Drosophila melanogaster: one gene and its partner. Changing the gene in region 1 together with any one later gene gives a genetic interaction. Each region holds a gene or a part of one and is shown on either strand. Other genes may lie near its edges.

What was found. A genetic interaction does not mean that the proteins touch.
Region 2: of Archease (region 1) and Rtca, changing one suppresses a phenotype caused by changing the other (phenotypic suppression), as found in Drosophila melanogaster (one study listed by BioGRID).

What each region holds. Positions count from the first base shown.
Region 1 is NT_033777.3:21,660,640-21,664,858, reverse strand, and holds Archease (archease), read left to right. Parts: upstream 1-1,886; 5' UTR 1,887-1,994; coding exon 1,995-2,049; intron 2,050-2,115; coding exon 2,116-2,140; intron 2,141-2,639; coding exon 2,640-3,030; 3' UTR 3,031-3,673; downstream 3,674-4,219. UniProt on the Drosophila melanogaster protein: Component of the tRNA-splicing ligase complex required to facilitate the enzymatic turnover of catalytic subunit RtcB.
Region 2 is NC_004354.4:2,070,819-2,075,392, reverse strand, and holds Rtca (RNA 3'-terminal phosphate cyclase), read right to left. Parts: upstream 2,981-4,574; 5' UTR 2,668-2,980; intron 2,277-2,667; exon of another isoform or gene 2,260-2,276; 5' UTR 1,683-2,259; coding exon 597-1,682; 3' UTR 527-596; downstream 1-526. Other genes in the region: CG4045 (uncharacterized protein), read left to right, coding at 1-186, 254-355, 422-526; CG4199 (uncharacterized protein), read left to right, coding at 3,967-4,033. UniProt on the Drosophila melanogaster protein: Catalyzes the conversion of 3'-phosphate to a 2',3'-cyclic phosphodiester at the end of RNA.

The DNA of each region.
Region 1 (4,219 bases):
AAATCGTGCGTTAGTATGGAAGCATGGTAACAGTGGTAAACGAAAGACTTCAACAAGACACAAACTTGGGGGTGCGAACAACTTTTAAATCCACTTAGAGGCGGCAGCCAGTCATGCAACGCGAGAGCAACAACGTATGATAATATTTGGCAATTCTTCAGTTTAGCGGTTGCATTTGCAACCAAGTTGACCAACGGTCAGTTATTTAACAAAACAAGTTACCTAGCTACTTAGTTTAGTTGAGTTTTCCGAACTCCCGAGCTTTAGTTTCACTTCCAGGCAATTTACTTCTGGTTGTTCCAAATATATAGTGTAGCCAAATATGAAATTCTGGAACTCGTACGCAAAGGCGCGCAAATATTCGAGAATAATAATAGCTTTACAGTTATTTGCGCCGAATACGCGACGTGAATCAGGCGAGCTCCCGTAGCCAACTGAACCACTCGAAGACGTAGGAAACCAGAGAAAAAGAGCTTCCACCAAAAGTGGCAGCAGCAGCCAAATGAGCCATAATAAAAAAAAAACCACAAAAATAGCAGGAAAATGTTTGAAAGCCATAATATGGCCGGGCACAAAATTGAGCTTTGTCAACTCGGCTTAGAGTTTGACACCCCCAAGTCGCGTTTCCTCATGTGCAAAATGAACAAAATTGAACAAAACGGTCGTAAATCACCAGCAGAAATCATTCATAAATTCCTTTAGAAATGCGTAGAATCATTTAATTGACCGAGATGCGCACTAACTGATAACCATTACTTAGCAAGTTATTATTAATATTATTTCATATAATTTTATAGCATGTTTGATAATAATTCATATTAATGTCCCAAAAGGTGAACAAAAAGTAAATACAAAATTCATTTGAAATAATACAAACACTTTAACTATAAAATAACTTTTCATTTCTCTTAACACACTAAATATTTCTTGAACTTTACATCAACGAGTTGAACGACCTTAGAAATAAATATTTCCTTCGCTGTCTATTTCAAACAATAACCCATCACCGCTGGTTGAAAAGTGATCTGAATTTAATGAGGCAATATTTATTAGACAATCCCATGTCCGTCAATGGGTATTATTCAAGTATGAAATCAAGTACTCACAGCCAGCGCTCAAGTTCATGGGATTGAATAAATCAAGCGACGTGATTGACAATCGTAACGATTGACGGCAATGCTGCCGGTAGGCCAGAAGAAGATTTTGTGGACTGTTTCTTTTGGCAAATGAAAATACAAGGTTGCAGCTTCAGTTGTTATGGCTGATTGCGATTTAATGAAAGGACAAGGTCGCTCTTACAGAAATTCAAAACTGGGCTGAAAACATGCGCCAGCACTTTGTAGCACTTTAAGTGCGATAACAAATGGTGGGCATAAACTGGAAATTCTGCTTTAATTTTGCTCAAAATTACTTAATTTTATTACAATCACAGCCTTTAGCACAATTTTATTTCTTTCGTTCTGTAACGTTTTTAGATATATTTTTTTTAACTAAAAGGGCCGTGGGAAGCATTTTGTAAACACTTTATTAAAGGAGGAAGCATTATTTTTATTTTTCTTCTCTTCTGATGTTGGAATCCTTCCCATTTGACATGCATATTTAAATTACAAGTTTTTTAAATTACAAAGTTAAAAATAAATGAAGCCTTTAGGTATTTTTAGATATTTTTAACAATTTCGAATTTAAAAGCTTGATAGAAACTTTTATCTTATAATTCAATCTTTATAATTTATAGTTTACTCTTTATTAAATAAAACCCAAATATTTCTTACAAACAATTTTATACATTTTATTAAAATTTGTATGTTAACATTTCCCGGTTTGAGCTCAGTATTTTCTGTAATTTGTATGTTAACAATTTCTTATTGGAGCTCGGTATATTCCTTTCAGTAGGTATTTTCCCCTGCGCATAGATGGTCACACTAAGCGGTTGCTGGTTTGTTTATAGTTTTTGTCCGCGAATTTTACTTTAACTTTAGCTATAACTAACAATAATGGAGGTGGAATTCAGTAGGGAGAACTTCCTGCTGCCGGAGATGAAGTACGAGTGTGAGTAGTTCTTCGATTTGCAGGAGAATAATCTGTTGCTAAATATTTCATCACATTGCGTTGCAGACCTGGATCACACGGCGGATGTTCAGTGAGTAAGATAACAACAAAAACAACAAGTGTGCCCGTTAGCCATGTGGAGTAGGGTGGTTCGCTATTTGTGAATGAAAAATCCAGATGATCGTATAAACTAGATTCTAATAAGCGCTTTCGTATTAGAATTTGAGATATAGCAAACATTCTGAAAAAGAATTTATTTTAATTTATACATATTTTAAAGCCATTATAATTTTTCATATTTTCCCAAACCTATGTATTATGTTCATAGTTAGGGAATACGGCTTTTTAAACGTCAAATGTATCTGCTTTTTTGAAGATTATATGTAATGCAAGTTTTTTCTGACTTTTATATTATACTACTATCGCTTAAAACAACAAGACTATTATTAAGTAGTAGATCATAAATAATTCTTTTACTACGCCACTAAAAGGCAGCAGTTTTGTATATAAATTATAACTTACGGCTACAATAGACATAATTAATTTACTTAATATAAACGGATGATGTTGGAATCCTTCCCATTTGACAGAATCCACGGATGGGGATCGTCGCTGAAAGAGGCGTTCGAACAGTGCGGAGTGGCCATGTTTGGATATATGACCGAACTGGATTACGTGTCCGTGGAGCAGTGCTTTGAAATCGAAGCGCATGGAGATGATCTGGAGAGCTTACTCTTTCACTTTCTGGACGAGCTGCTGTTCCTGTTCTCTGCCGAACCGTATCTGGTGTGCAAGAAGCTGGAGATCACCAAGTTCGATGTGGAAAACTTCGAGATTTCCTGCCATTGTTACGGGGAACCATTTGAGCTGGGGAAACATCCGCAGGGCACCGAAGTGAAGGCAATCACATACTCGGCCATGCAAATCATTCAGGACGTGGAGGCCAGCAACTACGAGGTGTTCGTGATAATTGACATTTGATCCAGCGGCGATCGCCGGGAATTAAATGTGACTGTTCTGTTTCAACCCCTTTGCCTGTCTCCATTAATCATAAGTGAAATGCCAAAAAACGATATAAAAACCGCTGCATAAGCCCCGAAAAATTTGCAATCTCTCGTGCTGCGACTGCATCCCTTGTCGATGAGGATGACTTATCAAGAAACCACTCGATTGTGCGGCTGCAAATGCAATTAGGACTGGCTTCCTTCTCACCGGTCTGATTCCGGAATCAAGATTTACCCTTTTGCCTTCGAATTTTTTGTGTACTATTCACTTTTTTTTTGCCCACTGCTTTGTGAATTGGCAACGTGTTGAATTCCCAGACAAATGCCGAATTTGTTGTCCTTTCCCAGGCCCCAGTTCAATGCACTTTTTATTCGGCAGCCTTCAGGAGTTGCTGACGCGTTGGGTTGCATTAAAGAATTAAGTTGTACTTCTTTTTGGGGAGTCATGTCGAATAGGGCAGTTAACAATGCAAGTCAAGGCCATAGTTTTAATGTTATGATTGACTTGATTTGTTCGACATAAAGTATAGAGAATGCGGGGCCTAAAAACACAAACATATTTTTTTATCAACAATAATTTAGTTCAATGAATGTAAATCGTAATAAATATCTATACGATTAAGCAATCCCTAATTCTAAATATCAATCCACGACGATATCAACAAATATTAACGCTTTTCAAAAAACCGATTTCCTTTGAATAACGCGCTATTCTCGAATCAGTATTATTCGGATGATTTTCGCGTGAGCCGATGTTATTTAGTGGCCGATGAGCGAAGTCAGCTGGTAACACCGAGCGATTTGTTTTGAAACAGCTGACCGCACCGTCAAAACCCAGAAAGTAAACAACAAAAAAAACATTTGCCGGGCAACGTCGCCCAACATATGGGCCCGTTCTTGTATTTGTGTGGGTGCGTGCGTGCACGAGTATGATGATTTTTCCTTGGAACATCGGGCGAAGAACGGCGAACTGAAAAATATACGCTTTTACAGCTGATTGATATTAAAAAAAAAGCAACGCTGCGGTCGACGAGCCATACGAATGAGCGTGCGAAAGAACAAACAAAGTATGAAGGCAAATAGCCCGCGGACACACACGCACACACAAACGGCCAGTTGGTCGATTCGCTTTTAGCTTTCAGCTTTTCGAGTGCGTCAAAGTTAAA
Region 2 (4,574 bases), on another chromosome or scaffold:
GCATACCAGAACATTGCCTGCTTACGCACCAACGCCATGAAGTATCTGCCCAACTACTTCGTAAAGGGCCAGCTGGAGAAGATGTTCTTCCTCTACCCGGACCCACATTTCAAGCGCGCCAAGCACAAGTGGCGTATTATCAACCAGGCTCTACTCTCCGAATATGCCTATATCCTCAGGAAGGGGGTAAGTCCAACAGTTTCCTGAAAGTACTCGAAATGCGGTCTGCTTACTGCTTAGTCTGCTTACCCAGGGTCTGTTGTACACCATGACGGACGTTGAGGACTTGCACAAGTGGATAGTGACACATATGGAGGAGCATCCGCTGTACGAGCGTCTTACCGAAGAGGAGGCCGTACGTAGTTCAAAACCGAGATCACGCAGCCAAGTCACACATTAATCATTACGTTTAAACCCACAGAATGCTGATCCCATCACCCCGAAGCTGTACCAAAGCAGCGAGGAGGGCGCTAAGGTGGTTCGAAACAAGGGCGATCATTTTCTGGCCATTTTCCGGCGCCTTTAGGACACGTATATTCTCTATATATGTAGACATTAATTTAAGGTTTCCTTAGAGTAAAGAGATCTATCGATTGTTAAATCAACTTGTTCACATGTCCCAAGCCCTTGCAGCTGACTAGCATCTGGCCGCCGGGCTCCATCGCCACATCGAACTTGACCCCTGTCATTTGCTCGGCTACATTGATGGCGGTGCGCGTGTGATTGGTCAGCTTGCCTGTGCGCATCGTTGAGCGGCCCACGGCCAGGGCCATGTAGATGATGAGCTGGTCCTGCATGTAATCATCAACGCAGACCTGTTTGCGCATGTAGTCGCCCAGTTGGCACGACGCCTCTGAGCCGAGAACGTGTCCGTCGATCCTCTTTTTGCCCAATGCAGAAGCACCTAGGACAACGTCGGAGGTCGTGTTGACAGTCATCAGGATGCCGGCTCCGTTGTGGAATGCCTTCTGGCGTGAATGCTTAATCGGCTCGATGCTGCACTGCTGGGACGGCCACAAACGATGTATCTCGCGTTGAGCCGTCTGTTGCATGTCAATAGCAATATTTACCGGCAAGCGGCCGGCGCAGTAGGCCACTCCGCTGACCGATTTGATGCGGCCGAAAGCCACTAATTTTCCGGAATTCAGCTTGGTCACGGGTTGCACGTCCAACTGGCATCTGCCTTGGCCGCGTGGATAGAAGCCGTACCGCTGCACCTTCAGGTCGAAACTAACCCCGAAGTGTTTTAGGTTGGGCAGCAGCACCTCCTGCATGTATTCCACCGGAGGCGCAAAGTCGACGTTCGTGCCCCCGGATACGATCAGGCGGGACGGGCGTCCGGCAAAGAGAAGTACTGGGAGCGCCATCTGATAAATCAGAGTAATGCTGGCCGCCGTGTGCGTTTCCACGCGATACGTGTTGTCCAAAATGGTGCGCGGCGTGAACTCCACTGTGGAGGAGAGCAAGTAGTTTCCCACCACGTCCGCATTGGTTATGTCCCGCAGGAGGTTCAGCCCATGCAGGTGCTGGTGCGAGAGCCCAGGACTCGGGCGGCTGGCCCGGATCTTTACCACGCGCACCGGTTTACCCAAAATGCAGCTGAGGCTGAGGGCGTTGCGCAGGGCCTGCCCGCCGCCCTCCAAGTAGGAGCCGTCGATCTCCAACATTTTTTCCGCGTCCATTTTCCCAATTTATTTATGTTCAGGGATTTTCAGTCTGGTTTCCTCTCAGGTTGTCAGCCAAGTGTGTGTCAGAACAATCGGAGCAATCAAATATCACAATGACAGGGGCTAAGAATAACAGCTCCATTTCACTCGATTGGGACGGCACACTGTGATCCGGGCAGTGTGCCCGACGCTCGCGTTTGCTTGGAAACAAACACCTGCCACTGTGGAACCACTCAAGGCGCGCACCATTCGAACTGGTCCGGCAGCACTGGCCAGACGTAAACAAGCGAACTTTTACAAAATAATACATTACCAGCGCAATAGTTAAAAGTTAACTAGAGATGGCTGTGTAAGTGTGCAGTGTCCGCCGGCGCATGGTCGTACGTGCCGCCTTCAGGCGATTAACTTATCTGCAACGTGCCATCGCGAAGGCAATTATGTATCTTGTTCTAGTCCAGCTTAGCAGTGGTTTAACTGGCCCGAGGCATCGAAGGCGAATCACTTGGCAATTGGGCAATCGCTAGCTTGGTCCTCCTTCTCCACTGGAATGCTTGACTGGCCTTTTTGCCTGTCCGTGTCCAAAGTAGGAGGGCTGCAAATAAGAAAAAAGTAACTAATAACTAATACATTTAATTGAAACCACTTTCCGTTGGAAAATGCTCTTCGAGTTTTTAAGGCTCAACTGTATTTTGAGAGTCCCATTCCCTGGGTCTGATAAAAATAAGCCTATCCGCATAACTGGACTGTGTCAACATTCGCTCAAGCAGACATTGACGGAATGGGCTTAGGACATAATACACCTGACATGGCTTCCATGCGTATAGAATGATATTGAATGTGTACGCTCTTAAGAGCATTATTTTCGAACTCCTTAACCAAAGACAAGAATACAATGTGTCCAAAGATACAATGTTTACCTCGAGATAGCGAGATATCAACAATTTGTTCGGTACTATCCGTATCAACAGGTCTAAGGAACAGCCATTTCCCAATTACTTACGAAGGCAGTGACGGAAAATTTGGTTTACTTATCGTTCTGGTTATTCCACTCGAAGAGTCATGGCAACCGCAATAAAACGCTGGTATTTCGTGTTCTTGTTCTAGTTCCGCTGGCGGTGATGCAATTCTGCCGGCACTGACTGTGGCACGATGGGCTTAGCTCAGCTCAGCCAACAGGTACATATGTTGGTCGCCAAGTGCATTGGTCCGAATCGCGAAGAAGGCCAGCTATGTGTTACCCTCTACGACTTCTTGGTGCTGGCCACAGGCTGGTGGAGGAGATTGCTTCGAAGTGAAGTGCGGCGACGGCAAGGTCGCGAAGTTTTTGTTAGTGGAACACACGAGAATGGTCGGAAAGGCTGACAACTGCGGTCAGCGTTATAGTTTCCAGCGCTCTGCATTGGGTACCTCATAGGTAGTTTATCCTGCCAAGAAATTTTCTTGTTTCGTCTAGGTAGTCTTGGCGCTTGTTTCATCTATAATCGCATTATACACATGAGAGATGCATTGAACAGGGAGCGTTGCGATTACACAGTAGGGCTGGCTCCTAGTATCTTGACCGTTCCTGTGTCCACGGACACACACAGAGCCCAGAAGTGCGTGTGTGTTGGGGAGGCACGAAGCTTCCAGTTCCAGTCGAATCCAGCGACGAAGTTGCGCGCCATACGCGGTCCGCAGTTCACGCGCGCCAGACGTGCCTCGCATTGCATTGGCTCTTGCTCTCCCGGCTCTCTCGCAGCGTTCCTGGTCCACTCGACTCCACTTCGCTTATCTCGGCACAGACGCGGACCCCCGACCTGTTGCACGCTCCCAGGCTCTCATCCTCCCTTCCACGCGATATTCCAGTTGTTTTGTTTTTGTTTTGTTTAGTGTTGTTGTGGAGAGTGGTGAGTGATGATTGGCGACTAAAAGCAATTCGCAAATAAACAACGACGTGTGTTGTGTGTGCTGCAAAAAACAGCATCTCGGACACGTTTGGGGGAGTTCAGCACATCCATCTGCGGCTGATGACTCAGGCTGTGGAGGAATAATTAAATAGAAATGATTAACACGCGGGAACTAACTAACTGATAACGAGCTTTGGCACAGTGATTGATTGTTATTAAGTGAAAAGTAAAGCTCCTAAACTGGCCACTCAACTTTCAGGTGGCAGTCCCCTCGCACAGCTCTGAGCTTGGTCAAAACGAAACGAGCCTTTGAAGGCCTTCTGAGGATACGCAAGCTCCCGTCCAGCCAATCCTGGAGGATACTCAACGCCCCGTCTTTTGCGAGCCACATCAACAACCGCCTGTTAAACACAATGGGTTCCGTCAACTGCAAGGAGTACAAGACCACGGGCAGCACTCCCAAAAAGGAGAAGTCGACAGGTAAATGCACGATTTACAGATGAATAGTTTTCGAAAGGTCAATTGCCAAACAACAAGGCAAGGTCGCATTTCCAATTTGACTGCGCCACTTCTAATCTCGCAAATGGTTTCTTCCCAATAAAATAAGATCATCTTGCCCAAAAAAAAAGTTCCAAATGTACTTAAACCAATCCCTTCGTTTTCCGACTTCAATTCGAAAAGTGCGTGGTAATGTCGTAGATGATCCGATTGCCACCAGTGCCGTGTTCCTTTTACCAACTAAACGAGGCCAAATGGCTTGGAGTTGTGATTAGGAGAGTGGGAATGACCCGCATTAGATGGGTGTTTTCGGGCCGGGCGTAGGTGCCTAGATGATTGTCTCAGCGGCACAAGTCCAAGAGATTGGCAAAGAGATAGGGACGGCGGGAGGGCGCAACTTGCTTGAACTGCTGCTGCGTCATTGCCACAGTAGCTATCGATGCGGGAATACTTAATCCCGGGTACTAATTCCCCTAAAGCGACAGTTTCCCTGTGGATATCCAATAGCATGGCCATCTTTACC